Linked DNA regions of Oryctolagus cuniculus. The protein of the gene in region 5 purifies or fractionates together with the protein of the main gene of each other region. This does not show direct contact. Links are inferred from orthologs where the notes say so. Each region holds a gene or a part of one and is shown on either strand. Other genes may lie near its edges.

Evidence for each region.
Region 1: the proteins of MAVS (region 5) and IKBKG purify together in Homo sapiens (affinity purification with western blotting; 4 studies listed by BioGRID and IntAct, with this or other methods). This does not show direct contact. The link is inferred for Oryctolagus cuniculus from reciprocal best matches to the Homo sapiens genes MAVS and IKBKG.
Region 2: the proteins of MAVS (region 5) and BAG6 purify together in Homo sapiens (affinity purification with western blotting; 3 studies listed by BioGRID and IntAct, with this or other methods). This does not show direct contact. The link is inferred for Oryctolagus cuniculus from reciprocal best matches to the Homo sapiens genes MAVS and BAG6.
Region 3: the proteins of MAVS (region 5) and NLRP3 purify together in Homo sapiens (affinity purification with western blotting; 4 studies listed by BioGRID and IntAct, with this or other methods). This does not show direct contact. The link is inferred for Oryctolagus cuniculus from reciprocal best matches to the Homo sapiens genes MAVS and NLRP3.
Region 4: the proteins of MAVS (region 5) and NLRX1 purify together in Homo sapiens (affinity purification with western blotting; 4 studies listed by BioGRID and IntAct, with this or other methods). This does not show direct contact. The link is inferred for Oryctolagus cuniculus from reciprocal best matches to the Homo sapiens genes MAVS and NLRX1.
Region 6: the proteins of MAVS (region 5) and IFIH1 purify together in Homo sapiens (affinity purification with western blotting; 12 studies listed by BioGRID and IntAct, with this or other methods). This does not show direct contact. The link is inferred for Oryctolagus cuniculus from reciprocal best matches to the Homo sapiens genes MAVS and IFIH1.
Region 7: the proteins of MAVS (region 5) and TRIM21 purify together in Homo sapiens (affinity purification with western blotting; 3 studies listed by BioGRID). This does not show direct contact. The link is inferred for Oryctolagus cuniculus from reciprocal best matches to the Homo sapiens genes MAVS and TRIM21.

What each region holds. Positions count from the first base shown.
Region 1 is NC_091453.1:132,763,798-132,768,434, forward strand, and holds the start of IKBKG (NF-kappa-B essential modulator), read left to right. Parts: upstream 1-1,358; coding exon 1,359-1,545; intron 1,546-4,637. UniProt on the Homo sapiens protein: Regulatory subunit of the IKK core complex which phosphorylates inhibitors of NF-kappa-B thus leading to the dissociation of the inhibitor/NF-kappa-B complex and ultimately the degradation of the inhibitor.
Region 2 is NC_091436.1:138,969,828-138,973,939, forward strand, and holds part of BAG6 (large proline-rich protein BAG6), read left to right. Parts: coding exon 1-49; intron 50-159; coding exon 160-267; intron 268-389; coding exon 390-502; intron 503-610; coding exon 611-698; intron 699-891; coding exon 892-1,175; intron 1,176-1,580; coding exon 1,581-1,872; intron 1,873-2,037; coding exon 2,038-2,207; intron 2,208-2,399; coding exon 2,400-2,453; intron 2,454-2,578; coding exon 2,579-2,681; intron 2,682-2,787; coding exon 2,788-2,912; intron 2,913-3,070; coding exon 3,071-3,217; intron 3,218-3,305; coding exon 3,306-3,365; intron 3,366-3,471; coding exon 3,472-3,615; intron 3,616-3,696; coding exon 3,697-3,804; intron 3,805-4,112. UniProt on the Homo sapiens protein: ATP-independent molecular chaperone preventing the aggregation of misfolded and hydrophobic patches-containing proteins.
Region 3 is NC_091437.1:1,750,777-1,754,888, forward strand, and holds part of NLRP3 (NACHT, LRR and PYD domains-containing protein 3), read left to right. Parts: intron 1-2,473; coding exon 2,474-2,644; intron 2,645-4,112. UniProt on the Homo sapiens protein: Sensor component of the NLRP3 inflammasome, which mediates inflammasome activation in response to defects in membrane integrity, leading to secretion of inflammatory cytokines IL1B and IL18 and pyroptosis.
Region 4 is NC_091432.1:111,131,590-111,135,701, reverse strand, and holds part of NLRX1 (NLR family member X1), read left to right. Parts: intron 1-438; coding exon 439-508; intron 509-911; coding exon 912-1,000; intron 1,001-1,489; coding exon 1,490-2,109; intron 2,110-2,481; coding exon 2,482-3,303; intron 3,304-4,112.
Region 5 is NC_091442.1:29,188,244-29,192,355, reverse strand, and holds part of MAVS (mitochondrial antiviral-signaling protein), read right to left. Parts: intron 3,844-4,112; coding exon 3,299-3,843; intron 2,201-3,298; coding exon 1,754-2,200; 3' UTR 1-1,753.
Region 6 is NC_091434.1:79,413,824-79,417,935, forward strand, and holds part of IFIH1 (interferon-induced helicase C domain-containing protein 1), read left to right. Parts: intron 1-78; coding exon 79-228; intron 229-2,239; coding exon 2,240-2,401; intron 2,402-4,112.
Region 7 is NC_091432.1:62,639,109-62,643,664, reverse strand, and holds the start of TRIM21 (E3 ubiquitin-protein ligase TRIM21), read right to left. Parts: upstream 2,940-4,556; 5' UTR 2,781-2,939; intron 1,470-2,780; 5' UTR 1,422-1,469; coding exon 1,014-1,421; intron 209-1,013; coding exon 113-208; intron 1-112. UniProt on the Homo sapiens protein: E3 ubiquitin-protein ligase whose activity is dependent on E2 enzymes, UBE2D1, UBE2D2, UBE2E1 and UBE2E2.

The DNA.
Region 1 (4,637 bases), on a different chromosome or scaffold from region 5:
TGAGGACTGCTGTAGGCAGTGACCACAAGCTTGGTGGCTTAAAGCACCCGAAATGTAATCTCGTGGTTCTGGAGGACAGTAGTTGGAAAGCAAAAAGTCGACAGGACTGCAGCCCCAGAGGCTGAGAGGAGAGGGTTCTCTCTCGTCTCTTCCAGCTTCTGGTGGCTCTGATTTTTCCTTGGCATGTGGCCACATCTCTTTATTATCTGCTTCTTTTTTTTTTTGACAGGCAGAGTGCACAGTGAGAGAGAGAGAGAGAGAGAGAAAGGTCTTCCTTTGCCGTTGGTTCACCCTCCAATGGCCGCTGCGGCCGGCGCACTGCGGCCGGTGCACCGCGCTGATCCGATGGCAGGAGCCAGGTACTTCTCCTGGTCTCCCATGGGGTGCAGGGCCCAAGGACTTGGGCCATCCTCCACTGCACTCCCTGGCCACTATCTGCTTCATTTTTTTTAAAAAAAGATTTATTTATTTGAAAGGCAGATAGAGAGGGTAGGATGGAGAGAGAGAGATGTTCTGTCTGCCGTTTCACTCCCCAGATGGCTGCAATGGCCAGGGCCAGGCCAGGCTGAAACCAGGAGCCAGGAACTTCATTTGGGTCTCGCACTTGGGTACAGGGACCCAAGCACTTGAGCCATCTTCCGCTGCTTTCCTGGGTGCATTAGCAGGGAGCTGGATTGGAAGTGGAGTAATCAGGCCTTGAACCAGTGCCTATATGGGATGGTGGCTTAACCCGTTACACCACAATGCTGGCCCCTTCTGACTGTTTTCACCTGGCTTTCTTCCTTGCATGTTTTCCTCTGTCTTTTGTCTTTTATAAAGACACTTGTTAATGGATTTAAGGCCCACCTGAATAACCCAGCAAGCTCTCATTTTGATCAAGGCCCTTAGTTTACATCTGCAAAGATACTTTTCCCAAATAAAGTTGCATTTATAGGTTTTGGGGCTACCATGCAGCCTACAGTACTTGGGAGGGAACATCCCCTCCGGCTTGAGGGTCTGTGTAAGGGTAGGGGTCCCAGCGCACACCGATGTCTCCTGCTACAATAATCCTTAGTTTTCTGCCTCTGGCAAAGTTCCTGCCTTAGGTGTGCATCCTGAAGATGGGTGCTGGTACAGAGTCCGTAACCAGTGCTAAGCCATGGCCTGTGCAAGTCTCACAGAGGTGGTTCAGCATCTTCCTTCGGAATGAGGGTGTTTGTGACCTCTTAGATCGAAACCCCATTTCGGCCAGAGGGATCAGCATTTTGCCTTCATGGCCCCAGAGCTCCTGCACAGAGTGTACTTATCCTGCTGGGGATGAGAATTCCCCTGGGTCTCATGGGATGCCTTTGCTGCCTTTCTCGAAGAGCGTGCCTTGGATGAGCAGGCAGCCCTGGAAGAACCAGCTGTGTGAGATGGTGCAGCCCAGCGGCGGCCCGGCCGGGGACCAGGACGTGCTGCCTGAAGAGTCTTCTCTGGGGAAGCCGGCCATGCTGCATCTGCCCGCAGAGCAGGGTGCTCCTGACGCTCTCCAGCGCTGTCTGGAGGAGAACCAAGAGCTCCGAGGTGAGGTGGACAGCAAGTAGGTGGGGCACAAAGTCAGGGGATCTGGTCCTGCTGAAGGCAAGGCTTCTCTCGTGCACCTCTGCGTCTGCTGGGTGTGGGGCGAGGGCACCCCGAGAGCCAGCTTGTGCTTCCAGCGTAGCTACCTTGCCTCCTGGTTCCAGGCGGGGTTCCCTGGGAGCAGACCGAGGTGCATGGCAGGGTCAGTACTGAGGCAGAGAAGGGAAGGAGATGGGAGAAAGCAGGGGTGGGCAGCAGAAGTGGGCTGCCTTGGCTGACCCCCAGGGACTCTGGGGCTGGACTGACACTTCCAGGCTGGACCAGCGTGGCCCAGCCTCAGAGGACCTCTTCCCTGGGAGGGGACTCAGACTTTCCTGGGGTGGGTTGCGGTCTTGTTTGAGAGGGGGGTGCTGTGGCCTGTCCTGGGAAGTGGGTGTGGCCCACCCTGAGAGGAGGTGGTGTTGACCAGCATGAGAGGCATGACCCCTGCTGCAGTGGGGTAGCTGATGCCTCAGTTGTGTCTTTAGTTGGCCATTCATGTCCTAGTTGGCCAGTGGCTCTTGCCACAGTTGTAGTCCCATTCCCCACCTCCTTAAGTGAGTGTTGGATGTGATGTAGGGTCTTTTGCTGATGAGTCACGTGCTCTGTGGCCTCAGGGAGTGGTGCTGGCAGATGCCATGCACGCAGGGAGCAGACCTGGGTCTGGAATGTGTGTCCTCTTCCTAGGAGACAGCTAGCCACCAAGAGACTGCTTGGTTTCCTTGAAGGTTGCATTGGAGAGGCCCCGCCTTTTTTTTTTTTTTTTAGATTTATTTATCTGAAAGGCAGAATTACAGAGAGGCAGAGGCATACAGAGAAAGAGAGGCCTTCCATCCGCTTGTTCACTCTGCAGATGGCCTCAACGGCCAGAGCTGTGCTGATCCCAAGCTGGGAGCCAGGAGCTTCTTCTGGGTCTCCTATGCGGGTGCAGGGGCCTGAGGACTTGGGCCATCTTCTGCTTTCCCAGGCCATAGCAGAGAGCTAGATCGGAAGTGGAGCAGTGGGTCTAGAACCAGCGCCCATATGGGATGGTGGCACTGCAGACGGCGGCTTTACCCACTATGCCACGGCGCTGGCCCCGAGGCCCTGTCTTGAGCACAGAGCAGCAGTGTCTTCTACCTCAGTTCTGTTGACCTCTGGGGCCAGCTAATTCTCTGTGGTGAGGGCTGTCCTAGCCATTGTGGCATGGTGAGCAGTATCCCTGGCTTCTACTCACAGGTGCCAATAGTGCCCCTCCAGTCCCCTGGGAGTCACAGTTGTCCTTGAGTGGGACCCACTGTGCTGGGGTCTTCAGAACAAGTCATGCACATAGAGCTGGCAGCCAGATCGGGGCCTCTGCTCATCCCTAGGGGCCCAGAGCATTTCAGAGCAGTTGTGCAGGGCTCATGCCATGGCCTGTGGTGGCTCGGCTCTTCTGCCTCCTAGACTGTGTGTTCAGCACAACAGCTTTGCTAAGTCTCTGGCAGCAAGTGGAGACTTGAGGCTATATTGCCTCCAACTGGGAAGCTGGATAAAGCTTGGGGGGCAGCATGTGAGACCCCCGGGGCCCTGAAGGTGATTGTCCCCCAAGGTGCTCATGATTGTGTCTATAGGTAGGCTGTGAAACCAAACAAGGGAGGGTACAGTGTTTGCTCAGAACGTTTATGAAGAAACTTCCCGGAAGAGCTTGCCTGTATTCACGTGACATGTCTCAGAGACAGAAAGCAGTTGAGTGGACGCCAGGAGTGCGGGCAGGGGGCCTACGGGAGAGAATGCTGCTGGGTTTGGGGTTTCTTTCTGGGGTGCTGGGAATGTTCTGGAATTAGGTAGTGCTGATGGTTGCATGATCTTACAGCTTCATTAGCTAAAAACCACTGGATGACTATACTTTAAAATAGTTAAAATGGTGAATTTGATGTTACATGAATTTTTACGTCACTAAAAAGAAATTTAAAAGACATTGCACACAAGTTGAGACTCGGGTTGAGTGGGCAGGCAGCAGTGATGGCCAAGGGTTTGGAACATTCAGTGATGTGAAACTACTGTCTACCTCTGTTGGATACGGTTCTGTGGTTGCCCTAGAACCTTGCACGTCACTGATCGCTTTTGTCAGATGCTTCTTCCTCTACCTGGGGTGGTCGCTGGGTATGTGGCTTTCCTCTCCTCTGGCCTCTGCCAGCCACCTGCCGCTGGCACTGATATATGCTCATGGCTTAGTCTGGCGAGAAGAAGACTGCTCTTATTTATTTATTTATTTATTTATTTATTTATTGACAGGCAGAGTGGATAGTGAGAGAGAGAGAGACAGAGAGAAAGGTCTTCCTTTTGCCGTTGGTTCACCCTCCAATGGCCGCCACGGCCGGTGCGCTGCGGCCGGCGCACCGCGCTGATCCGATGGCAGGAGCCAGGAGCCAGGTGCTTTTCCTGGTCTCCCCATGGGGTGCAGGGCCCAAGCACCTGGGCCATCCTCCACTGCACTCCCTGGCCACAGCAGAGGGCTGGCCTGGAAGAGGGGCAACTGGGACAGAATCCGGCGCCCCGACCGGGACTAGAACCCGGTGTGCCGGCGCCGCTAGGCGGAGGATTAGCCTAGTGAGCCGCGGCGCCGGCCAAAGACTGCTCTTTTTTGAGTTTCTGCACAAACACTGTGTCTGCTGCTGCTGCTTAGAGGGCAGGTGTTCTTGTCCCTGTCGAATACGCAGAGGCAGGCACTGAAGCTTAGACAGGCACCTACCTTGCCCCATCAAAGCCAGCAAGGCCACAGTGAAGTCTGCTTTCGTGGCCATCCCGAGTATGCAGCTGTGTTAGGACCCCTTGATCCTGAAGACACCAGAGATGTAGGCGGGGGAGGACCGAACTGAGGAGCTCAGGGCAGGCGTGTTTTGGACTGAACCAGAAGCCGGGTGACTTAGAGAGCTAGCTGCTCACAAAGAAAGTAACGTTTGGCACATACTTTCCAGTGAAGCTGATATGTTTACTGTTTCGTTGGAGAGACTTCAGAGGCATTTAAGCAAATATCTAACAGGGAGCACTTGAAAGTTACCAGTTCCTTTGAGAAGTTCCTTTGAGAAGCCTGG
Region 2 (4,112 bases), on a different chromosome or scaffold from region 5:
AGTGCTCCCACTGGCCCCCTAGGACCCCCTGGTCATGGCCAGACCCTGGGTAAGAGTGAGGGCATCAGAGCAGGTTGAGCTCTGGGTAGAGAAGGGGTAGGGCTGAATGGGTGGGTTAAAGGGGTCCAGGTTCAAGGTTACATCAGACCCGCCCCCCAGGCTCCACCCTCATCCAGCTGCCCTCCCTGCCCCCTGAGTTCATGCACGCCGTCGCCCACCAGATCACTCATCAGGCCATGGTGGCAGCTGTTGCCTCCGCGGCAGCAGGTAATGACCTGGAAGGGGAGGCCTGGGAGGTGGGGCATAGTCCATGGTGGCGGGTGCTGTCAGCTAGTGGCCAAGGGCCCAGCCCTCAGCTCTCTCCGGTCTCTCTCTTCTGCCCCCCACAGGACAGCAGGTCCCAGGCTTCCCAACAGCTCCAACCCGGGTGGTGATTGCCCGGCCAACTCCTCCACAGGCTCGGCCTTCCCATCCTGGGGGGCCTCCAGTCTCCGGGGCTCTGGTGAGCAAGGGTAGGGGAGTTGTTCCAGTGGGGAAAAGTTAGGGGAAAGAACCCCAAACTGGTATGTGGGAAAGGTAGGGATAAAAATCTCCCCACTTCTCTCCCCAGCAGGGTGCTGGACTGGGTACCAACGCCTCATTGGCCCAGATGGTGAGCGGCCTTGTGGGGCAGCTTCTCATGCAGCCTGTGCTTGTGGGTGAGTCCTCGCTCTTCCACACCCCACACTTCAGAGATCGCCATGATTCCAAAGCCCGACACTGTCCGTGTGAACTGCTGTTTTCCATTTCTTCTCATGTTCTCTTGGTTCTCACTGTCCTGTTAACACCTAATGAGGGTGCTGTGATGTCTGAATTTTCTTCAGATTTCGTTTTGCCTTTGATTCCTTACAGCTCAGGGGACCCCAGGAATGGCTCCACCTCCAGCTCCTGCCACTGCTTCAGCCAGTGCTGGCACCACCAACACAGCTACCACAGCTGGCCCTGCCCCCGGGGGGCCTGCCCAGCCTCCACCCCCTCAGCCTCCTGCAGCTGATCTGCAGTTCTCTCAGCTTCTGGGGAATTTGCTGGGGCCTGCAGGGCCAGGATCTGGAGGGCCTGGCGTGGCTTCTCCCACCATCACCGTGGCAATGCCCGGCGTCCCTGCCTTTCTCCAGGGCATGAGTGACTTCTTGCAGGTGAGTGGCTGGCTTGCCTTTCTCCTCACCCGTCCCGTGCCCCAGCCTAGCCAGGCAGTGGGGCTGTGTTGCCATTAGGTAGCTGTTGGGCCATTGCCTGCAATTTTGTGGCCAGAGAAGGGAGCCGGGACTTTATTGACTGAACTGCTCCCATTTTGGAGATGAGGGAAATAAGGCTTTAGAGAAGAGAGAGAGACGCTGTAGTGGCTAGTGTCCTGCTCTCTGGTCTAAACCATACAGTGAGAGAGGAGTTGCTTAGGCCAGCTCTGCTGTGGACTCCCTTGCCACGAGTGTTCTTTCCTAAGGAGTAAGGTTTAGAATACGGCCCCCTGTCTCCCCAGACCGTGTCGGTGTCTGTCCTTACTCTCAGGTCTCACTTCATCATCTTTATTCTCTCTTTCCCAGGCAACACAGGCGGCCCCTCCACCCCCTCCACCACCTCCACCCCCACCCCCTGCCCCAGAGCAGCAGAGCACGGCCCCACCAGGGTCCCCTTCTGGTGGCACAGGGAGTCCTGGAGGCCTGAGTCCTGAGAGCCTTTCCCCGGAGTTCTTCACCTCCGTGGTACAAGGCGTGCTGAGCTCTCTGCTCGGCTCTTTGGGAGCTCGCGCTGGCAGCAGTGAAAGTATTGCCGCCTTCATCCAGCGCCTCAGTGGCTCCAGCAACATCTTTGAGCCTGGGGCTGATGGAGCCCTCGGTGAGCAACGACGGGAGCCTTGGTCTTCTCTAGGAGGGGATAGCCAGGGAAGGGACAGCCGGGGGTAGGTAGATGGCTTTTGTTTAGGGAGGTTGCCAAGATGGGATGAGGCCGATGGGCTGGCTGGGGGTAAAGGCCTTTGCTAACTTTCGCCCCTGTCCGCAGGATTCTTTGGGGCTCTCCTCTCTCTTCTGTGCCAGAATTTCTCCATGGTGGACGTGGTAATGCTTCTCCATGGGCATTTCCAGCCACTGCAGCGGCTCCAGCCCCAGCTGCGATCCTTCTTCCACCAGCACTACCTGGGTGGCCAGGAGCCCACACCTGGTAACATCCGGGTAAATGAAGGCCCGGAGCCTTAGAAGCCTCCCACTTCCCCCTTCAGTACCTTGTTTCTGACCCTGTTCATGTATCAGCTTACGCCGTTGACTGCGCCAGCCCTAGACATGGACCTGTGGAGGGGGGAGGGGTAGAGAAGGAAGTCTCCTGAGACTGAGGCTTGGGCCTGACCTCTGCTGTTCTCCCCGTAGATGGCGACACACACATTGATCACAGGGCTAGAGGAATACGTGCGGGAGAGTTTTGTGAGTGACCCTTCTGTATTGCCTTCCTCTCCTTGGGTCTGGTCCAGACAGCTGATGTCCGTAGTGCCTTCTCCACTTCCGATCTTTCAGGGTTCCTGATCTGGGGTCTTTGTCTTGTCCCGCAGTCTTTGGTGCAGGTTCAGCCTGGTGTGGACATCATCCGGACAAACCTGGAATTTCTTCAAGAGCAATTTAATAGCATTGCTGCTCATGTGCTGCACTGCACAGGTCAGGGCCTGGCCAGGCAGGGGCTGGCTAGGTGTGGGTGCATGGTATGTAGCGGGTGTGCAGAGCTGCCAGGTGCCAGCATTCTCTCCTTATATCTTGCCTGCAGACAGTGGATTTGGGGCCCGGCTGCTGGAGTTGTGTAACCAAGGCCTGTTTGAGTGCCTGGCCCTGAACCTGCACTGCTTGGGGGGACAGCAGATGGAGCTGGCTGCTGTCATCAATGGCCGAATTGTAAGCACCATCCCACCCCAGCTCCCCAGCCATTTGTTTCTTGAGGTCTCCTTGCTCCTCATTTTTCTTCTCCCAAGTACTATCCTGTACCCTAGATCTGATGTATTTTAAAAGCCGGCTGAGGGTTTTGTCTTCCCAGTCTGTTTTCTGCCCCTCAGCGCCGCATGTCACGTGGAGTGAATCCGTCACTGGTGAGCTGGCTGACGACCATGATGGGCCTGCGGCTTCAGGTGGTGCTGGAGCACATGCCCGTGGGCCCCGATGCCATCCTCAGATACGTCCGCAGGGTTGGTGATCCCCCTCAGGTAAGGGACACGGCGGGCTCTGGGACCAGGGCGCCTGAGGGGGCCGGCGGGGTCTAAGAGGGCCTGTCGGTGTTCTCCAACCTCACAGCCACTGCCTGAGGAGCCCATGGAAGTTCAAGGAGCAGAAAGAACGTCCCCAGAGCCTCAGGTAACAGGGAGGGGTGGAGAGGCCAGATGATGGGAACTGGGGGGCTGAGAGGGCAGGGCTGGGTCTCAGTTCTGAAACCTGCCTCCTCCCACCGTCTGACTGCCAGCGGGAGAATGCCTCCCCTGCTCCTGGAACTACAGCAGAAGAGGCCATGTCCCGAGGTCCGCCCCCTGCCCCTGAGGGGGGCTCCCAGGATGAACAGGATGGAGCCTCAGCCGAGACAGAACCCTGGGCCGCTGCTGTGCCCCCAGTAAGTGCTGAGAGGTGATCCAGGGAGCTGAGGCCACTGGGAGTTGTGGGAGTTACTACTTTTGGATGTTTCCTTTCCCAGGAATGGGTTCCTATCATCCAGCAGGACATTCAGAGCCAGCGGAAGGTGAAGCCGCAGCCCCCCCTGAGCGACGCCTACCTCAGTGGTATGCCTGCCAAGAGACGCAAGGTCGGTTTACCTCTTCCCTGAGGATCTTTGTCCAAGTTCCCCTCTCATGTTTAAAATCAAACTAGAGTTGGAAGGGGCTCTTCTAGTTCGGGAAACCTTTGGGACTCATTTTCTTGCTCATAGTTGTTGCATAAAACCACACAGGACTTGGCCTTAGTTTGCTGGTAGTCTTGTCTTGGTCTCTAATTGTACTGTGTGACTAGTGCCCACTTTTCTTTAAGATGGCTTCCTTTTGCGGCCTAACTAGTTCTAAACTCCAGATGGCTTGACCCATTCTGCCCCTTTTGTTTTGAAGAGCAAGTTCAGCA
Region 3 (4,112 bases), on a different chromosome or scaffold from region 5:
CTGGAGCCAGGAGTCAGGAACACAATCCAGGTCTCCCATGTGGGTGGTAGGGACCCAGTCACCTGGAGCCATTGCTGCTGCCTTCCCAGGTCTGCACTGGCAGGAAGCTGGAGCCAGGAGCCGGAGAAGGGACTTGAACTCAAGCACTCTGATATGGGATGTGGGCATCTTTTAGATAATTTTTCTTTATGCATTTTCATCTACTTGAAAGGCAGAGATCGTGGGAGAGAGATCTTCCATCTGTTGGTTCACTCTCCAAATGCCTGCAACAGGAGCCAAAGCCAGGAGCCTGGAACTCCTGGTCTCCTGTGTGGGTTGCAGGGACTCAATCCACTACCTCCAGGAAGCATTAACAGGAAGCTGGATGCAGCAACCCAAGCTGCAGCTTCACCCACTGCATGGCTCCCTCCCCATGGGACATGGGTATCTTAACCACTGAGCTAAATGGCTGCTCCTGCTCTCCCTGTTCAGTTGTCTTCCAATCGCAGTTTCCACAGGCACAAAACAATGCCCCCCATCCCTGCCAGATCTCTTCATCGGACCCATTGACTCATGATTGGCAGATAGATGAGATGAGTAAGAAACAACCCCCCGAAAGAGTAAAGCAGTCAGCAAATGTTTGGGGATGCTGGTTTCTCACAGAGGTTAGCTGGGATGTGGGATTTCACACACACTCCAGCCTCTGGTGATCTGCTTGGGGCTCTGTGCCAGGCTCCAGCAGTAAGATCAGGACTGCTGGGCCTACGTAGTGTAGGGCAGAGATGTGGTCTCTGATCACAGAGGCGGGAGTCCAAGACCTAGGGCCATCCGTGTGAGGGCTTCTGAGGGGCAGGCTGTGCAGCTGGCCGCACCGGGTAAGACAGCCCTAGGCCCAGAGTCTCAGGGGAGAGGGACCCGAGCTGCCCTGAGACCTGAGGGCAGTGAGGGGCAGCCCAGGAAGGCGAGAGCTTGGGAGGGTGGGCAGTGCTTTGGGACCTGGGCACCTGGGAACGAGCCTTCCGAGAGAGATCGGGGGACGTGCACCCCTCGCTGGTTTTCAACGCTGTGGATGCTGAGGGGTGCCGGGTGTGGGAAAGCTCAGTCAGGTCGGTCCGTCCCTGCCCCACTGTGGTGAGACGCGAAGGTTCTGGAACCCGCCATCCTAGGCTCGGGGAGGAGCGCCGGGCTCTGCTGCCTGGGTGTTGTGGCTGCCCGCGGTCTGCACTGGGCGCCCAGCGGTAGAAGGCGCCAGTGTGTCAATCTTCACACGAGGCTGGGACAGGACCAAGAGGGAACTGGGTCTTTCTGCCGGCAGTGGTGAGTTCCCGCTCTTTCAGGCTGCCCGGATGCCCTCCGGCCCACCGCGGCCGGGAAGGACCGGGTCCTGCCATGGTGAACGGAGTAGCGTTCAGGGACAGGGATGGGAAGCAGGCCCATTTCCGAGACGGCCAGGAATTCAGACCTGCTGGAGACAGAGCCGACCATGGGGCTGCTCGCTGCCTTGCGCCTGCGCCCAGCCTGAGTGAAGCGTCCGCGTGGTGGTTCCTGGCAGGGGAGGGTGCCGTTCCCACGTGGCGGCCTCCAGCCACGTCCTCACAAAGTGAAGGGCGGGGCATCTCTGGGCTTCCTCTTGCAAAGGCCCTGATCCTGCTCACGAGGGCTCCACCCTCAGCCTCGTCACCCCCAGGAGCCCAGCCCCCAACCACAGCACACAGCACTGTGCTGGGTGAAAGTTTCAACCTAGGACCTCTGGAGACCCCACATTCAGACCAGAGCCCTGGGGAAGGAGAGGTGGGCAGACAGGAAAGGAGGCGGCCCTGGGTCTGTGGGGGAGCAGCCAGGAGCCTGAGCAAGAACTCCCACCCAGAGAAGGCTGGTGGCATCCCCGGAGCAGAAACTCAGCACTGGGTTCTGGTGACAGCAGCCACTCTCGGCCCCTGGACCTCGCTTAGTGGTCCCAGAACCTTCAGGGGGCCTGGTCAGCACAGCAGAATCAACACCCAGTCCTAGATATGGAATCAGACATGCGTGTGAACGAGAGCTGAGGGCGAGTCCAAGTGTCACTGCACAGAGAGCGACCTGGAGTTGGAAAGTCATTGGCAGAAGCCGGCCCTGCTGCAGATTCCAGCCTTGTGCCTGTGACAGCACCTGTGTTGCGGGTGACAGCACCTGCGATGCGGCTGTCAGCCCCGTGGGCTCACTCTCTCTCATTCACAGGAGGACCTGACTCCCTACGTCTCCCATAGTGTCTGGGCTGTGGTCAGGACAGCTGGAGAAAGGGAGCAGAAGGCCCTCTTGATCAGCCAAGCCTCAGGCTGCACTTCCGTCCATCATGAGGTGTCCGCCTGGTCTTCTCATGTCCTCAGCCCCTTCTCCCTCCAGGAATCGCCTTTGGTTCATGACCCCTTTCTTAACCCTAGGAAGTATCCCAGCCCCTGCGCCAGTTTCTATTGTGGAGCCTGATTTCCTTTGCTCTCCTTCCTTCGACCGCTAGATTGGTGAACTCCTGTCTCACGTCCAGCTTTTGCCGGGGCCTCTTCTCAGTTCTAAGTACCAATCCAAGCCTGACAGAACTGGACCTGAGTGACAACAGCCTGGGAGACCCTGGGATGAGGGTCCTGTGTGAAGCGCTCCAGCATCCCGGCTGCAACATTCGCAGACTCTGGTAAGCCCATGGGTGTGCAGTGCTGACAGAGGGGAGACTGGAGAAGGCTCTTAGGGACTGCATCAGGGCGCAGGAACTTCCCACGCTGTCATGGAAACAAAATGCCCCAGGGGTGGTGCTTGGACATTGGACAGCAGAAGCTTATTTCCTCACAGCTCTGGGAGCGGCAAGTCCACGGCCCGTAGGGTTGGTGGCCTCTGAGGTTCGCTCGTGGGCTCCTTGATGCTGTCTTCCCCTGTGTCCTCAGGGGTCATCCCTGTGCATCTGCGTCATGAACTCTTCCTGCATTCCTGTGAATGGGGCCCACACTGAGGACCTTGCTTTGGCTTAACTTCCTCCTTGGAGACCCTGTTTCCAAACCCAGCCATGCTCTGAAGTCAGGGGGGCAAGGGCCTCAGAACAGGAGCAGGGGGAGGCAGAGCAGGTCAGAGGCCAAGTGCTTGGGAGCGTTGGCAGGGGAGAAGGAAGGGCAGCGGGGAGGAGAGCCAGGCCCCGCAGGTTCCCTTTTCTCTGGCCTCCCTCAGAGCCCCAGACTGGAAAGCTTCGCCACACCACAAGGGGACAGGAACTAGAACACACCAAAATGTGATTTTCTCTTTCCTTTAAAAAAAGATTCATTATTTATCTGGAAGCCATGTGCCTCTGTGATACTCTCCATCACCCCCACAAGAGTCCTCCGCAGGTCCCCGGAGGGCAAGGCACAGCAGGAAGTCCAGTGACACTGTGGGGTTTGTGGGACAGAGGAGGCCTCCTTGTCCATTTGCTTGTAGTTGGCCTGGAGGTGGGGTGGGAAGGAAGGAGTGCAGCAAGTGCAGGCCCCGTGGACGCTGGCGTGGGAGGGGCTGTGGTGTCATTCTCGCCCCATGGGGCGCACACATACTGGGGTGTGTGTGGTCACAACACTTTCCCATTGCTACAGCAATGACTGAGGCTGAGCACTTAGGAAGGAAAGGAACTCACTTAGCTCACAGTTTCACTAGTGTGAAATCCAGACAGCACGGCCCTGGCCCTGGGAGAAACACAGTGAGACAGAGAGGGGAGATCGCAGAGGGGGAGTTGGGAATCTGAGTTAGGAGTCCAGTGCACAGACTGAAGTGGCTTGGTCTGTCAGAAGGGCTCACTGTCCTGGGAACTAAGTGGGTTCCACAAGAGCTACCTTAGTCCCTTCTGAGGGCCACTCCACGGTGACCTCACCTTCCCCTGTAGACTCTACTCTTAAAGGTGCCTCCACTTCTTAAGGGCACCAGGATTTCCACATATGAACCTTGGGAAAAACAAACCGAGGCCTCTGACAAGTCCCTCATCACCAGCGACGGCTCCTTAAGTTTCTGCTGCAGGGCACTTTAAGTGAGGTGGAGCACAGTGCGATGAGGGCAAGAAGTAGCTGGGCACAACCCCACCAGGGGCATGGTGCGGGCCTGGGCCTGGGTAGCTCCGGGGTGGGTCGTGGTGTACCTGGTGCTCTTTG
Region 4 (4,112 bases), on a different chromosome or scaffold from region 5:
ACGCCAGGTGCATGAGTCTGGGCCCCGTGCGTCTTACTGGTGACCTTGGGCACAGCTCAACTTCCTTTTTTCATTCTAAAATAAGAGCAGCTGGACGAGGTGATCTTGGAGGGTATCTTGCATCTGTATCAGTCCAGGAACATGTGTCCGACCTCCTTTCACATTTAACAAATGTTTCCTACGTGTCCTCCATGTGCCACACCCTGTGTTAAGTTCTAGATCTATCGTTATGAACAAAACTGGATGTGATCCTTGCTCTCATGGAGGGGAAGGGAAGCCTGCTAACCAAGTGATCATGTAATGGGGCATGAAGTTGCACAACTGCTGCTACAAAGGGTGGTGCGTGCTGCTGGGAGAGCAGATAATGGAGGCGGGAGTTGTGGACTTGGGGAAATGTGGCTGAGATCCGGAGATGTCATTTCTTCCTTCTCTTTGTAGGCGATTGTACCTCCTCCCTGGTCCGCCGGAGCTGGCCCCTTAAAGGGGAGCACCCCCTTGCGCCCCCTAGGTGAGGCCTGGTTCTCATACCTTAGGATGCTTCTGGTCACAGCAGAGGATGCTGGGAAGGGTCAGGCCTTGACACTAACTTGATCCCCTCAGGGAGGGGTGGGGAGGATACACAGTAGCTCCCAGCCAGAGAGGAAGTTGGAGTCTATGTCCCAGTGGTCGGGGTGGGGGGACACCTGTGGGAAGTGGGCAGTCTGGCAGCGGCCGGCCTGAGTTCCAGGCAGGCAGCAGTGGGCTGATGGGCTAGGGGCAAGGCCTCAGGGTCTGGGACGGCTCCGAGAGTCAGACCAGGCCTTGCCTAGGCTGTCCAGTGGCAGGCCTGCACCTCAGGAAGCTGCAAATCAGAGCCCATGCAGGGGCTGAGCTGTTCACACCTTACCTTGTCCTCGCTCCTCACTCCCCAGGGCCTTTGCACGCCACCGTGGGAGCTCAGCTGACAGTGCTCCCCCACCAGGGAGGCACGGACAGCTGTTCAGGAGCGTCTCAGCAGCTGGTAAAGGGACTGGCTGGGTTCCTGGGGGTCAGGGGAATGGGGAGGAAGGGGCCTGGAAGGAGAAGCGGGATGAGGGAGACATAGAGGGTCCACTGCCATCGCCCGCCTGTGTCCCTCCCTCTCTGCACTTTGTCTTCCATCTGTCTGGGCAGCCTTCCTTCAACACCCAGGCCAGGCACACCCGGTAGGTACAGAGCCCCTAGAGACACACACTGTCCTCTCTTCAACAAGCTGGGGCCCAGAAGCCAGGTGGAAACCACACACAGATAGTCACAAAGCCAGCCAGCCAGCCCAGGCTCAGCATTGTGCACCCAGTGGCTGCCCGCTTCCTGCCATGGGGACCCCAAGCTTTCTGGACAGGCTGTCTTTCCTGGGCTCCAGCCTGCCCTGGGCTCCAGCCTGTCCGACGCTACCCACACGCCGCCCATGCTGCGCTCTGGCATCTCCAGGCCCTTTTTCCTGACCTGTGTTCCTGGCCTCCCCTCTCAGAGGCCATCCAGCGGCACCGCCGGAACCTGGCTGAGTGGTTCAGCCGGCTGCCCAGGGAGGAACGTCAGTTTGGGCCAACCTTTGCGCTGGACACAGTTCACGTTGACCCTGTGATCCGTGAGAGCACCCCCGATGAGCTCCTGCGTCCACCTGCCGAGCTGGCCGTGGAGCAGCAGCCGCTGCTACCGGGGCCCCCGCCGCTCGCCCTGTCTCAGCTCTTTGAGCCAGACGCCTGCGGGCGCCGGGTACAGACTGTGGTGCTCTATGGCACGGTGGGCACAGGCAAGAGCACGCTGGTGCGCAAGATGGTTCTGGATTGGTGTTACGGGCGGCTGCCAGCCTTCGAGCTGCTCATCCCCTTCTCCTGTGAGGACCTGTCGTCCCTGGGCCCCGCCCCAGCCTCCTTGTGCCAACTGGTGGCCCAGCGCTACGCGCCCCTGAAGGAGATTCTGCCCCTGATGGCTGCAGCCGGGTCTCGCCTGCTGTTTGTGCTCCATGGCCTGGAGCGGCTCAACCTCGACTTCCGGCTGGCGGGCACGGGGCTTTGTAGTGACCCCCAGGAGCCGGGGGCACCGGCTGCTGTCATCGTCAACCTGCTACGCAAATACATGCTCCCCGAGGTGGGCGGCCCCTGCCCCACCCCTGCTGCCCTTGCACTTGCCCTGGGGGAGGGGGTTGGGGTCCTGGGCCTGCATGTTTGATGGGTAGAGAGTTGGGCCTTGTGTTAGTTCAAATCCTGACCTGTTCACTTCCCAGCTGTGGCCCCAAGTGATCCTGTCCCCTCCAGGCTACGGTTCCCTTTTCTCCTTGAGTTGTCCTGATGAAATGAGATACTGCAGATCAGAGCCGGGGCTCAGCAAGTGTTAGTTATGAGTGTCGTCATCCGCCTCCTCATCCTGGGAGACTGTCTTTGGGCGGCGGGGGGGTGGGGGGGAGACGGAGGCAGTCAGGACGGTAGGGTCTTTCTTAGCCCTCAGCCGTGTCCTTCCCAGGCGAGCATCCTGGTGACCACACGGCCCTCTGCCGTCGGCCGCATCCCCAGCAAGTACGTGGGCCGCTACGGAGAGATCTGCGGCTTCTCTGATACCAACCTGCAGAAGCTCTACTTCCAGCTCCGCCTCAACCAGCCGGACTGTGGGCACGGCGCGGGGGGAGCCGGTGTCTCAGCCACGCCCACTCAGCGCGACAACCTGGTGCAGATGCTCTCGCGGAACCTGGAGGGCCACCACCAGATCGCCGCCGCCTGCTTCCTGCCCTCCTATTGCTGGCTCGTCTGTGCCACCTTACACTTCCTGCATGCGCCTACGCCTCCCGGCCAGACCCTCACCAGCATCTACACCAGCTTCTTGCGCCTCAACTTCAGTGGGGAGACGCTGGACAGCACCGACCCCTCCAATCTGTCCCTGATGGCCTATGCAGCGCGAACCATGGGCAAGCTGGCCTATGAGGGCGTGTCCTCTCGCAAGACCTACTTCTCGGAGGAGGACGTCCGGGGCTGCCTGGAGGCCGGCATCAGGACGGAAGAGGAGTTCCAGCTGCTCCACGTCTTCCGCCGGGATGCCCTGAGGTTCTTCCTGGCCCCGTGTGTGGAGCCGGGGCACCTGGGCTCGTTCGTGTTCACTGTGCCCGCCATGCAAGAATACCTGGCCGCCCTCTACATCGTGCTGGGGCTGCGCAAGACCACCCTGCAGCGGGTGGGCAAGGAAGTGGCCGAGCTCGTGGGCCGTGTCGGGGAGGACGTCAGCCTGGTGCTGGGCATTGTGACCAAGCTGCTGCCGCTGCGGATTCTGCCCGTGCTCTTCAACTTGCTCAAGGTAGTCCCTAGCCCCGGGGTTCCCCCCGCCCCGCCCCGGTCCCTTCCCTCCCCAGGACCCCGGGCTGCTGCCCACCTGCCCCCTACCAGAGCAAACAGCTCTTTCTGGAGGTGAATCTTCCCCTTGGCTCTGGTTTCAGCTCTGGGCCATTTGGCTGTTTTTTTTTTTTTTTTTTAAAGATTTTATTTATTTATTTGACAGGTAGAGTTACATACAGAGAGAGGGAGTGGCAGAGTAAGGTCTTCCACCTGTGGCTTTACTCCCTAAATGGCCACAACAGCCAGAGCTGCGCTGATCTGAAGCCAGGAGCCAGGAGCTTCCTCCAGGTCTCCCACGTGGGTGCAGGTGCCCAAGGACTTGGGCCATCTTCTCTGCTTTCCCAGGCCACAGCAGAGAGCTGGATCGGAAGTGGAGCAGCCGGGACTCGAACTGCTGGCACTGAAGGTGTTGGCTTAGCCTACTATGCCATAGTGCCGGCCCCTGGGCCATTTGGCTTTTAGTAGGAATGGGGCATAAGGAATGGGGAGAGAGAAACCACAAGGCTGGAGAAGCTTTGGAGGCTAGGAGGGAAGCTGAGGGCACAGGCACCTTAGTGACAATCAGGCAGATCCCTAAGCACGGTGTCCTTTGTGCGTCTCTCCGTCCAGTCTTTGTGGCTGGGAGCAGGGGTCACCACGGTCCAGGGCCTGTCATCTGCTCCACAGGTCCAGAAACTCGATTGTATCTGTCCCTACACAGGCGATTAGACTGCGCGTGATGACTCATCCTGATGAAATCACCAGGGACAGGCTTATAAAGCAGAGGTCATT
Region 5 (4,112 bases):
GAGAGCGCCGGGAGTCCCTCCGCTGGCTATGCACTTGCCGGAGGCACTTCCCGTGGCGCCTGACTGCCGGCCCTGCCCTCTGGCCACAGTCCTCGGGGCTGAGTGATACCTTCCAGCCGCCTACTTTTTCAGATTAAAACTGGCGTCTGCGTGAACTGCTCACTGCCCTACCCAACAGGGGAGCAGGGAGGGCTGGGCGAGGGCAGGCGGGGGTGATGCACAGGAATGCAGGCCGCTAGAGAAGGGGTCTCCCTGGTTTCACAGCTCAGGCTGCTGGGCCTGGAGCATGAGCTGAACAGCAGCTCAGAGGAAGAAGTCTTTAGGACCCTGCAGGCGAAACTGGCGGCCTGGGCAGGGCACCAAACCCCGCGGGCTGCCAGGCTGGCCGTGAGCGACAGTGACCCCCAACCCCGATATCTCTGCAGACACTGGCTCTTGTCCCCTGCAGAGCTCAGGAACACAGGTAGCTCCTGTGCCTGCCCCTTGTCCAGTGACGGCCACCTGCAGAGAACCCATGCACCCCAATGCATTTCTAGTATAAACATAGCCAATCTTCCCACCAGTGGGTGGGCAGGCTTCAGGCTGGGACCACAGATACCCACCTGGCCCCTGCGGGAGAACACCCCAGTCCCCATCCTGCACGGCTGGCCAGGTAGACACACCTCCCGCCCCCCAGTCCCCCGGTGCACAGGCAATCGAGGAGGAAGGAGGCCAAAGCGGGAGACCTGGCTCTGTCCCCAAAGGCGCGGCCAGGAGCTGCAGTCCCTCCAGACTTAGCAGTGGTCATAACAGGTGTCCAACTTAGAGCAACTCATCTCATCCTCACTACACACGAGGAGTCTATAAATACATATGTGTGTGCTAACCCCCATTTTACAGATGGGAATGAAGGCACAGAGAGGCTGATAGCTCACTCGGGGTCACGGAGCTCATGAGAGGCAGGGCAGCTGCAGGCCTGGCTGCCCGCCCTACAGAGCTGCACCCCGGCCCGTTGCACACTCTGCCTTTCATGCCCTCAGCTCTACCAAGCTGAGCAGGAGAGCGGGGGGAGCACTCAGTGGTCACTGGCTCTGGGCCAACCCCTGTCTGCTTTGCTTCAGAAAATCCCAGGAAAGCATGAGCCAGGTTCTCACGCTGTCCACGTGAGACCAGAGTCGGACCATCTGCCAAGGCCACCCAGCCCAGGGAGGGCTGCATCTGAGGCCCAGGCCTTGAGCTGAGCTCTGCTCACCAGGCGGCCCCTCCCTGACCCCAGAAGGGAGCTGAGAATGGAGACCAGAAGGGGGTGAAGTGGCTGGGGCAGGACTCACAGTGGCTTCTGGGCTGGGCCACTGGGGACAGGAGGTCTTATGAGGCCCCTCGACGCAGCACCCCTGCCCTCAGGTCTTCGGGCACCAGGACAGGGCGAGGGGCACTGCCAACCCCAGGAGCTGTCCAGCTGCACCTCCTGATCTGCACATTTGGGCAAATGAGCCTGGCAGGAGGCACCCCTCCCCAGCACATGGGGTGACAACCGGGATGCAGGTGAGCGGGTCTGGAGCAGGGGGGCCAGAGGAGTATCCAGAGAAGCCAAGGATGAAGAGGGACCCAGAGAAGGCACGATCCGGGACGGAAATGCTGTTTCCACATCTCCTGCCAGGCCTGCAGCCCCGCAGCTCCCCTTGGCCCAGCCCTGCAGCCCTGAGGAAGGGATGAAGGGCAGGCAGCATGCGGTGAGGGCTGAGCAGGTGTGCAGCAGGTGGTCCTGGGGCCATCAGTGAAGCAGGCGCCGCCGGTACAGCACAGCCAGCAGTGTGGCCATGAGTGCGCTGGCCACGGCTGCCCCAAACCACAAAGCCCAGGGCTCTGCCCAGACCCATTGCACAGTCTCGTCCGTGGGCTGTGGAGGCTGTTGGGTGGCGCTCAGCCCAGGTTTGCTTTCCAGGTCAGCGCTGGGACATTCTACCACGTGGAGCCCAAAAGTGCCCACCGACACGTACTCGTTCTCCTCTGGGCCGTGGCCGGGCTCGGGGAGCAGCGAGTTGCTGGGGCTGATGGCGAGATCCGCGGAGCAGCCCGAGAAAGGCTGGCTGTCCAGCCGGGAGGCCAGCACACCTGGCTTGCTCACCTCCGGCCCAGAGTGCAAGCTGCCAGAGCTGCCGTCTGGCCAGGGCTCACTGCCTCCTGTGGCACCTCTGGGTGCTGGAGCCACCGGGGTCCCCTGGGAAAGAAAGGAGAGCATTCAAGGAACCGGGGAGACAGGAAGAGAAGCTGGGTGGGGCGCCCCCTGCTGGGTGAGGGCATTAACCAGCAGCCTAACCTCTCAACTCCCGGGCCAGAGGGGATCTAATCCACGGTGGTGCAGGGCAGTGGGGGAGCCCTCCCGGGTCTGCAGTGAGCTCACCCCTGCTCCAGGAACCCACGGTGGGATGTGGGCCCACCCTCCATTAACATTTCTGCCTGGGCCTGAAGACCACAGAGCAGCCACAGCGTGTGTGGCCTGGCCATGTGTCCAAGGGTCCCGTGGATTGATTCCCCCAAGGGGACAGCAGCAGTGAGGGCTTGCAGGGGGCAGCTAAGGGGGGTTGCTGTGTCACAGAAGCTGCTCCAGACTGGATAGGCTAGGATGACCGCAAATAAGGCCTTGGTCATGCAGTGATAGGCTGGACTCCCTGGTGGGGCCTCCCACACCCTGCCCCTCACAGGTTCCTCATCTGTGCAATGGCCTTGCTAGGGGCTGGTGCTGTGGCGTAGCAGGTAAAGCTGGTGCCTACACTGCCAGCATCCCATATGGGTGCTGGTTTGAGTCCCAGCTACTGTACTTCCAACCCAGCTCCCCGTTAATGCACCTGGGAAAGCAGCAGACGATGACCCAAGTGCTTGGGCCCCTGCCAACCATGTGGGAGACCCAGAAGAAGCTCCTGGCTCCTGGCTTTGGCCTGGTGCAGCTCTGGCCACTGAGGCCATCTGAGGGGTGCACCAGCGGATGGAAGACCTTTCTCTCTTTCTCTCTGTAACTGACTTTCAAATAAATCAATAAATAAGTCTTTTAAGAGAGAAAGGAAAGAAAGAAAGGGCCTTACTGAGCTTACCTGGGGCTGAGAGCCCTAAAAGAATGAACGCACATGAACACAGCAGGTGACCCAGCATGCCTGAGCCCCCGCCCGAGGCAGCCACACTCAGGAGCTCCCCTGACTGTTATTCCTCCTCGGGTCTGGGTGAGGCCACAGACTGCACAGACAGACTGGGAAGGGTGCCAGGAGGGCCAGCTCTGCTGGGGCAGGGGTCCCACATCACTGCGAGGTGGGGTGAGACTCACCGCAGCCCTGGTGCTGCTCTTGACGGTGGGCGCCATGCCGGCAGGTGTTTTGGTGGGCGCCGTGCTGGCAGGTGTTTTGGTGGGCGCCGTGCTGGCAGGCACTTTGGGTGACACCGTGCCAGCACCTGTTGAGCTGATGGGCAGTTTGGATGGTGCTACACTGGGAAGCACGTTGGAGGACGTTGCACTGGGGGGCTTTGCGCTGGTGGGCAACTTGGAGGGCACCGTGCTGGTGAATGCGGAGCTGGCAGGCGCTGTGGGGGCTACTGTGTCCCCAGACATTGCGTTGCTGGGCACCCTGGAGGATGCTGCACTGGGGGGCACAGAGCTGGTGGGCACTGTGTCGCTGGAGCATACGGTGGCCTTTGCCTGGACACCAGCACCCTGTCCAGCAGCCAAGCCAGGGGGTGAGGAGGTGCCAGCGGATGAAACTGACGTGGCGGGTCCGGGCAAGCGGCTCGCCCTGGGAGTGGAACGGGCCAGAGGCTGGAAGGAGACGGACGGAGACACAGGTCCGCAGGGTGGCGCGGGGCTGGAGCCGGAGCCTGCAGGTGGCAAAGCAAAAGTGGAAACACAAACCCAAGGAACTGTTATCCCAAGGGCTGCAAAAGGGCCCCCTGCCCGAGCTCAGCATGCCTTCTGCAGCTGCAGGCCTTATGGTTGCAGCCACTGGCCTGAGTCCCAACAGCTGCCCTGCCCTTGACCTGTAGCCCCAGGTCTGCCCTGTCACAGGCATTAACTGTCCTTCCTCCTGGCAAGACCCAGGAGCCGCAAGGTTATCGTGAATTCTTCTCCCGCCCAGGACACCCCCTCT
Region 6 (4,112 bases), on a different chromosome or scaffold from region 5:
TTATTATTCCATCTCCTAATTAGAAGATTTTAATGTGTTTAGCATCACAAAATTTAATTTATTAAAATGTTTCTACAGAATGAACAAAAAGAAGTCATTAGTAAATTTCGCACTGGAAAAATAAATCTGCTTATAGCTACCACAGTGGCAGAAGAAGGTCTGGATATCAAAGAATGTAATGTCATTATTCGTTACGGTCTCGTCACTAATGAAATTGCCATGGTCCAGGTACATTCAAATACCTGTTTCTGATATGTTAATTTTTATTTCTGTGTTCCTATTTTAATTGCTTTCTTCTAGGAAAACAGCACAAAACCTCTCTTGTGTTTTAAAAATATATCCTTTTTTTCCTGCTAAAAGAGCATTTTTTATATTTAATATTTTTATTTGAGAGGCAGAGATAAAGATAGATAATCAAATTGTCCACAAGGAGGTGGGGGAGAGGTGTGAAGCCAGGATCCCGGAGCCAGGAACTCAGTTCAGGTTCCCTGTGCAGGTAGCAGGGACCTAACTACTTGAACCATCACCTGCTGTCTCCCAAGATGCACTTCATTTCCCCCTCCCAAAGAAACATTTTATTTAAGGAATACAAACTTGATGCATTTTATAAGTACAACTTTAGGAATATAGTGATTCTTCCTACCATACCACCTTCCTATCTACTCTCCCACTTCTTCTCCTCCTCCCTCTCCCATCCCCAGTCCCATTCTAAAAGAGCAATCTTAAAGAACTGTGCAGTACTGCCTTTTTTGCTATTGCTGTTTGACTCATATGGTGACCAGATATCTGTTGCCCTTTTAAACAACTCTTGCTTGGTTGATATTTCTGTCTCAAGACTTTCCAAGACCATTACACTAGCCCCACATCTAGGAGTCCAAAGAGACCTCCTTATTCCTAAGATGTCAGCAAGTCCCCCACTGGACCAAAAATAGGAAGCACACATTTGTGAGATGAATGTCTTACAAAATAATGTGTCCAAGCTCTAGGGAGCGTGCCCTTCCTGTGTTCTAATTCCTTATTCTTTCAATTTTTCTACAACTTTAAAAATTTTCATGATAATCTGTTGGTGAGGATGGACTTATAAATGCAAATGTAAATAAATCAATAAGAGTAAGATGATACAGTTTCCTTTGAATGTTCAATTTATTTATGTATTAACAATATTTCCATTACCTTTTGTTGAGGATAACAGAAGTCATGCTAATTGATATAATATTCTTCCCATAGATTGAACTAAGGGATTGTTTAAAAGTTACTCATTTGAGAGGCAGAGAGGTAGAACGATAGAGACAGAGAACACCTGTCTAACTGATTTACTTCCCAAATTTAATCCCACAAATGCTAGAGCTGGGCCAAGAAAAGCCAGGAGCTGAGAACTCCATCCAGGTCTCCCTTGTAGAAAGCAGGGGCACAACTATGTGAGCCATCGCCTGCAGCTTCTCAGGGTGCACATTAGCAGGAAACTTGAATCCAGAGCAGAGCCAGGACTTGAACCCAGGCACACCTGTACGTGATGCTAGCATTCCAACCCATACCAAGTGTTATTTTTTAATACCAAGTTGCATCCTTGAATGTAAGGTAAATCATAGAAGACTAACAGATATGGAAGTAATTTTATTTCCAGAGTTGATTTGTGAGTAGTTTTTTTTTTTTTTTCCCTCAGAATGTAGTTTTCCTTGATGATAATATTATAGTTAATAGCTAGGCTCCTGGGCCAGAGCACAAAGACTTCTTTTATTTGTAATGTACCTTTACATCTTTGTGGAGATGTCTATAGGAATTTGTCATGAAGTGGAGCTTATTTTCATGAGAAAATATGTTCAAATTCCAATGTGGAATGCCAGGAACAGACCTCTCTCAGCGTCCTGATGTCATGTTAGAAATGCTCCCTTTTCACCATGGATCCTTCTTGCCAGACAGGGGAATCCCAGTTCAAGTCACTGATCACAGTTCCCATGTTTTGAGAGAGGAGCTATGAGAACAGAAAAGCTGGACAGGAGGGCATCTGAAGGCTGGTATAGGGGCCCAACCATCATCACTCCAGAACACTGCTTCTGGGTTAAAGCACATTTTAAGATTCAAAGGCTTGACCTACCAGGAAGGGATAATAACTATACTAAGACTAGTGAGATCACTTGAAGGCTGGAATGCTGAGCAATGAATATCATTCTCAGCATAAAACCAGTAGAGTTTGTACAACACATAACCTTTCATTTACTTGATTTGTTTATTTTCTCAGGCCCGTGGTCGAGCCAGAGCTGATGAGAGCACCTACATCCTGGTTGGCTGCAGTGGCTCAGGAGTTGTTGAACGTGAGACAGTGAATGATTTTCGAGAGAAGATGATGTATACAGCTATACATCGTGTTCAAAATATGAAACCAGAGGAGTATGAGCATAAGGTATTGTTTTTGGATACCTCTGGATTTAGTTTTCATTTAAAAAAAAATGGATGTATGTGGTTGCCATTGATATCCCTGTGGCTTAGTCTCCAGACAGAAATTGTGCTGAATTATAAGTTCCTGTTTGATGCGTTGTCCGTAGCTCAGATTCACAAACAAAAGTTACCAAGATCCATGGTGGGCAGGAAGCTGTCAGGGAGCTCATTCCAGTCAAACCAACAATGAACTTTGATGATATAAATTTAGGCTGCCTTTAATCCAGAAAACTAGCACAACTCACCCATTCAACCCAATCTGGTCATTTGAGTTTGATCCAAACCTTTTGTATAAGCACACATTTTTATCCCAGCAATATTTATACAGTGCCTACTATGTGTCAGGCAATGTTTTAGGAACAACAAACATGGTGGCAAACCACACAGAGAAGAACGCTGCTGCATGAAGCTTGCATTCTAGTATGAGCTTGGCGAGATTTGACAAGGAAAAACAATGGACAAAAATTTAAACACTAGATATACATCATGTAGAGAAAAATGCTAAGGAATTATATTAAGAGAATATGAAATCAGTCACTACCTGAGTATTTCGGATCGAGTGGTTGAAGAAGGTAACATTGTGGGAGTGACACTGAAGCTGAATCTAAATAATAAGAAAATATGTAACATGTCTTCTAGCTGCATCTCAGTTTACTAACACAGAGTTATTGGAGTCGTGTGAAGGAATGTGGTGAAGGAAGAATGTATCTCTACAATATTTCAGGAAATCCCCCATACCACTGAATTAAAAAACTGTAACTACTATAATAGCAAACAATCCATTTAGAAGAAAATTCACACCCTTGCATATGGGTGTGAATGTTAGTTTCTTAACATTGGAATTGGCTCTACCCTAAATAGAGTTTCACAAAAGGGATGCTTTCAAATTGGTGTGCAAAGCTGTAACCAACTCCAAGGTTTCCTGGCCAGGTTTCTACACAAACTTGTATTTTAAAACCCTTTTAAATAGAAGGCAAACCAAACATTTTGGAGTATCAAATCAAACTTTTGTCACCAAATGATGCCACTAGAAAGTTACTGCCTCACGTTTACTTTCCTAAGAAAATGAACCAGGCAGCTATTTACGAAGGGTGATGTTTTAAAACTATTCTTGAGATACAACCTAAGACAATCTCTGGAGTTAATGGGTCAAACTTTTCAGTTACTTTAGAATAAGACACAGTTCCTTTGAGGACTTCTGAGCAGATTGTGTTTTGGGGTCTTCTTTGGAGACGAGACCTGTCCTCCCAACACTCTACTTCAAGTAGATGGAATTAGCACAGGAATGGCAATGAGGGGAGGTGCATGCCACCACTAGTCTGTCCAAAGTCCCTAGTAAACACTGTCACCAGTTCACAGCTACTCAGAGAACATCTCCTTGCTTCTGATTTCAGAATCTTTCTCAAAACATCATTCAGGCTATCACTAATAAGTGGCAAGAGTTGACACATAAGGTAAAATATGTTTTCTATGTCATATGCAGAATTTATACATAACAATAGTCTTCTTAAATTCCACTCAGGCTTCAAGAGGCAAGTTGAGGATGGTAAACATTTTCCCTGGCATTGACCCAGCAACTTTTGCCACATTATTACGTTTATTTAGTTATGCTTTTTCATAACTAAGATCTCTAGATTCTTGGAATAAAATTATTTATTAAAAAACATTCCTAGAAA
Region 7 (4,556 bases), on a different chromosome or scaffold from region 5:
TGGCAATTATCATTCTCAGACATAGCTCAGGTTAAGGCTTTCTTGATACTAGGACCCTGGACTTTGCCCAGCCTTCTGACCCCCCCCCACCCCATCAAGAAGTGTCTCTTGCCTTGCACTCTGCTCTCTTCATTGCAACATCTATTTCCAACTTCTCTGCCAACTCCTGCTGGCATCTTAGCTTTTTTAATGCCACCTGGAGCTTTTCCTGCCAAAAACAAAGTAACAGGTTAATCCCAACGAAACCAAGAAGTAGGGTGGAGTGGCTTGGGGTGGGAGATGATCATTCTGGTTCTTCAATAAAGCCTAAACACAGAGAAGGAGGGAGGACTGGGGTCTGATTAGGGTAGGCATTTGGTGGATAGGCAGACTGTGGAAAAAGCCCAAATCATGCGTCTTACAAAAAAGAACTACTGGCCGGCGCCGCGGCTCACTAGGCTAATCCTCCGCCTAGCGGCGCCGGCACACCGGGTTCTAGTCCCGGTCGGGGCGCCGGATTCTGTCCTGGTTGCCCCTCTTCCAGGCCAGCTCTCTGCTGTGGCCAGGGAGTGCAGTGGAGGATGGCCCAGGTGCTTGGGCCCTGTACCCCATAGGAGACCAGGAAAAGCACCTGGCTCCTGGCTCCTGCCATCGGATCAGCGCGGTGCGCCGGCCGCAGCGCGCCGGCCGTGGCGGCCATTGGAGGGTGAAACAACGGCAAAGGAAGACCTTTCTCTCTGTCTCTCTCTCTCACTGTCCACTCTGCCTGTCAAAAAATAAAAAAAAAAAAAGAACTACTGGCATGGCAGGATGAGGGCATTTCTCACACCTAATTTATCAGGAGTCCACAAGGAAACATGGACTTCATAGCATTTGCACAGAGTGTATCCACTACTCTAATGAGAAGGTTGTGTTTAGACTGGACATGAAAGGAGGAAAGTATCCCTCTTTTCCCAACCTCTGAACTCCAGAGGTAACAAAACTCACCCAGCCCCTCTCCTTTGGATCTGTCCATGTCTCTGCGAAGGCCTCACCTGGTACTCTTGAGCAGCCGCGTCAATAGGGACTGTGTGGTGCTCACGGTGTTTCTGGTATTGGGCACACACCCAGCAGAGGATTTGCCCATCTTCCTCACAGAACAGGTGAAGTTTCTCTCCATGTATCATACACCGCTGCCCTTGTGGCTCATCCTTGGCAGCCTGGCTGTTTTGTTTAAGGTTGTCCACCACGTTGGCTAGATGCCGATTGGGCCGGAGGTTCCTGAGCAGAAAGTGATTCCGGCACACAGGACAGATACCACCCCCATCTTTCCCAACATTAGAGATACATTCCTGGCAGAAGCTGTGACCGCATTCAATGATCACGGGCTCCACCATGGGATCTAGGCAGATGGCACATGTGACCTCCTCCCACATCATTGCCAGGGGCGTTGCAGAAGCCATGGGAGTGACAGTCCTTGTTGGGCAGCACTGTGCAGACCTTGGGGTGCTCTGGTGGGGGAAGAAGGAACAGAAAAGAAGAGATCTGCATGACAGGAACACAATAATGCAAAGGAAAACAAGATGAGCTGGTGGTGCCAAGCAAGAGAAGACAAGAACATCAACCCAAACAGCAGGAGCCTCTCCTCCACAGTCTGGCCCAGTGATCCTGTTGGAAGAAGGGAGACAGAGTCCTCCAACGAGGAGAAAACGGGGGAGAGACTCAGATAAGTCTGCTGACAATTCTACTTCATCATGTCCATCTGGGTTACATCCTCAGAGCCTAGGTTGGAGGAGGTAATCATAGTATGAGCAGTCATTTACCAGGTGCTTTCTATGTGTCAGAGAGGAGCTATGTGCTTTGTATAATATCTTCACTACTGTTCAATATAATGGCAAGAGTCTCTCTCTGTTCTACTCCCATATATATGAAATACATAAAAATTCATGGGGGGGGTGGCACTGTAGCATAGTGGGTAAAGCCGCTGCCTGCAATCCATATAGGTGCTAGTTCCACTTCCGATCCAGCTCTCTGCTATGGCCTGGGAAAGCAGATGGCCCAAGTCATTGGGCCCCTGCACCCATATGGGAGACCTGGAAGAAACAGTAGGCTCCTGGCTTCTGATAAGCTCAGCTCCACCACTGCAGCCTTTGGGGAGTGAACCAACAGATGGAAGAGCATGCGGTCTTTCTCTCTGCCTCTGCAACTGTGCCTTTCAAATAAAATAAAATCTTAAAAAATTCATAAGGGGTCTTCAAAAAGTTCACAGAAAATGTATACTACGAATGGGTGCATGGATTTCCAATTTTTTGCACCAAAAGTAAATTCCATTTCCATTAACTTTGAAATATTCTGCTACAGATGTGAATATGTCTGTGCACTTCCTCTAGGGCAAAGAATCTTGAACCTAAATAAGTTTCTAATTGAACACCCTAAACAGCCTGCCCTTTCCCTTTCTAGCAGGAGATTGGGGACCAGTTTAGTAGAGTGAGGATTCTTCCACAGGGGGCTCCTCTGGGCACCCACCAGCTCCCTTACACCCAGGGTCACCTTTTCCCTTGGCCCAGTTCAGGTACCTGCACTACAGCAGCCTGAGCTCCACCCATCCCTGTGGTTTGTAAGTCACACTCAGCCCAGCCTCCTCTCAGGCAGACCGGCCAGTGCTGGAAGAATGGCTGGGCTTGGGTTGAACGAGTCGGGGCCAGTGGGGTTGAAGGCTCTAGGGTTAGTGAGTAGCTGGAAGAGAGAATCAGAGGCAGGGGAGAGAGACCCTCCCCCACCCAGGCAAGAAGGGGTACTGTGGTCCTGCCGGGTTCACTCACCTGATCAGGCGATTCAACAGCTCTCTATTTCACTTTCAATTTCCTCTAAGAGGCCAGTCTGAACGGAAAAGGGAGGAGAGTGGGAGGAGAAAGGGGAGGGGCCCCAGGGAGGAGGATGAGGGAGGGGTGGTGGGAGGGACAGGGCAGAGACTGGGCGGGGTCAGGGCGGAGGCAGGGGATGACCGGGTGTAGGGGAGAAGGAGCAGGGCAGAGAAAGAAAAGTGGGAGGAGGGAAGACAGAGCCAAGCCGGGGGAGTTGTCACAGCCCAGTTAAACCTCAGCAACATGTCATCTGGGCGTACACTCCTCCTCCTGTCCTTGTCATCTATCTTAGTGAAAAAAATCGATGCTTTGACACCGGCCATCACCTCGTACCTGAATGCTATGTGCACCTCTGGGAGCTGCTATTCAGGAGGTTTGGATGCAAAGGATGCCTGGCTCTCTCCTTCACAGGCCTCCACCACCTGCTTCCTGACAGCCGAAACAGTTGCTTCCCATCGGACTCATGTTTCTGGTGACCTCCAGGGGTGGGAGATTTATTCCTCAGGACTCTGAGGCGGATATCACATGGGGCAGTGGTAGGAAGGGAGCTGACATTTTATTGAGCACCAGCTGGGTTCTTGTCATTGAGCTAAGGATATTTTCAGGTTATATCATTTTTATTTTTGATATTTAAGATAAAACAAATTTCATGTAACTCATCTACAGATTTAGGAACCTAGTGATACTTCTCATCCTTCTCTCCCTCCTTCCTCTTATTCCCTCAATTTTTAGGATGATCTTTCAGTTTACTGTATAACTCATGAGATTAACTCTTTAGTGTAGGGTTAAATAGAAAAAAAACCACTATTCTACAGTATGTTATTTTAATATGAGACATTTACCACCTTAACCATTTTCAGTTTGCCATTGAATGTCAATGAGTGCATTCACCTTGTTGTGGCACCATCACCACCATCTGCTCCAGAACATTTTCATCATCCCAGGCTGAAATTCTGTACCCAGACAATAACTTACTATTTCCTTTCTCTCAGGCCCTGGCAATCACCATCTGCTTTCTGTCTCTATGAATTTGACTACTCTAGGTGCCTCATATAAGTGGAATCAGCTTTAGAATATGTACCTTCACAGCTGGCTTATTTCATTAATATAACGTCCTCAAGGTTCATCCATGTTGTATCACATGTCAGGATTTCCTTCCTTTTTAAGACTGAACATCCCATTGTATGTACATTTTATTTATCCATTTGTCTGATGTTGGATACTTGGGTTCCTCCTACCTTTTGACTATTGAGAATAATGTTGCTATGTTAGGTTATATTATGTAAGTCACATAATAATTTGGCAGATTAAGGGTTATTATGGTTTATGTGAGGGGAGGGGTGCTGAGGCTGAATGGATGAAGCAGCTTGCTTGAGGTGACGTTGAAAACATTGATACATGTTTGTGGAAGGTGCAGGAAGACCCTCATTCTAGGGGCAGTATAGAGCTAACAGATTGTTGCATTGGTTCAAGCAGAAGCTGCGAACAGCTAATAGGGGCATGGTCAGAAACTGCAAAAGAGAAAAAAGGAAGAGTGATAAGGCCAGGAAAGTTCCCAATCCTAACTCAGAATTTTTGGTCCCTTATAACTTAAAATAAAAATATCAGTTGAACTTTCCTTAGTATTTATTATGGACTTAGGAAACCTAAAAAACTTCATACTTTGAAATTTTCAGTGGTTTTTCAGAACTTATATTCAGTGAAAGGCTATCAAGTGACATTTAATGGTCAGAC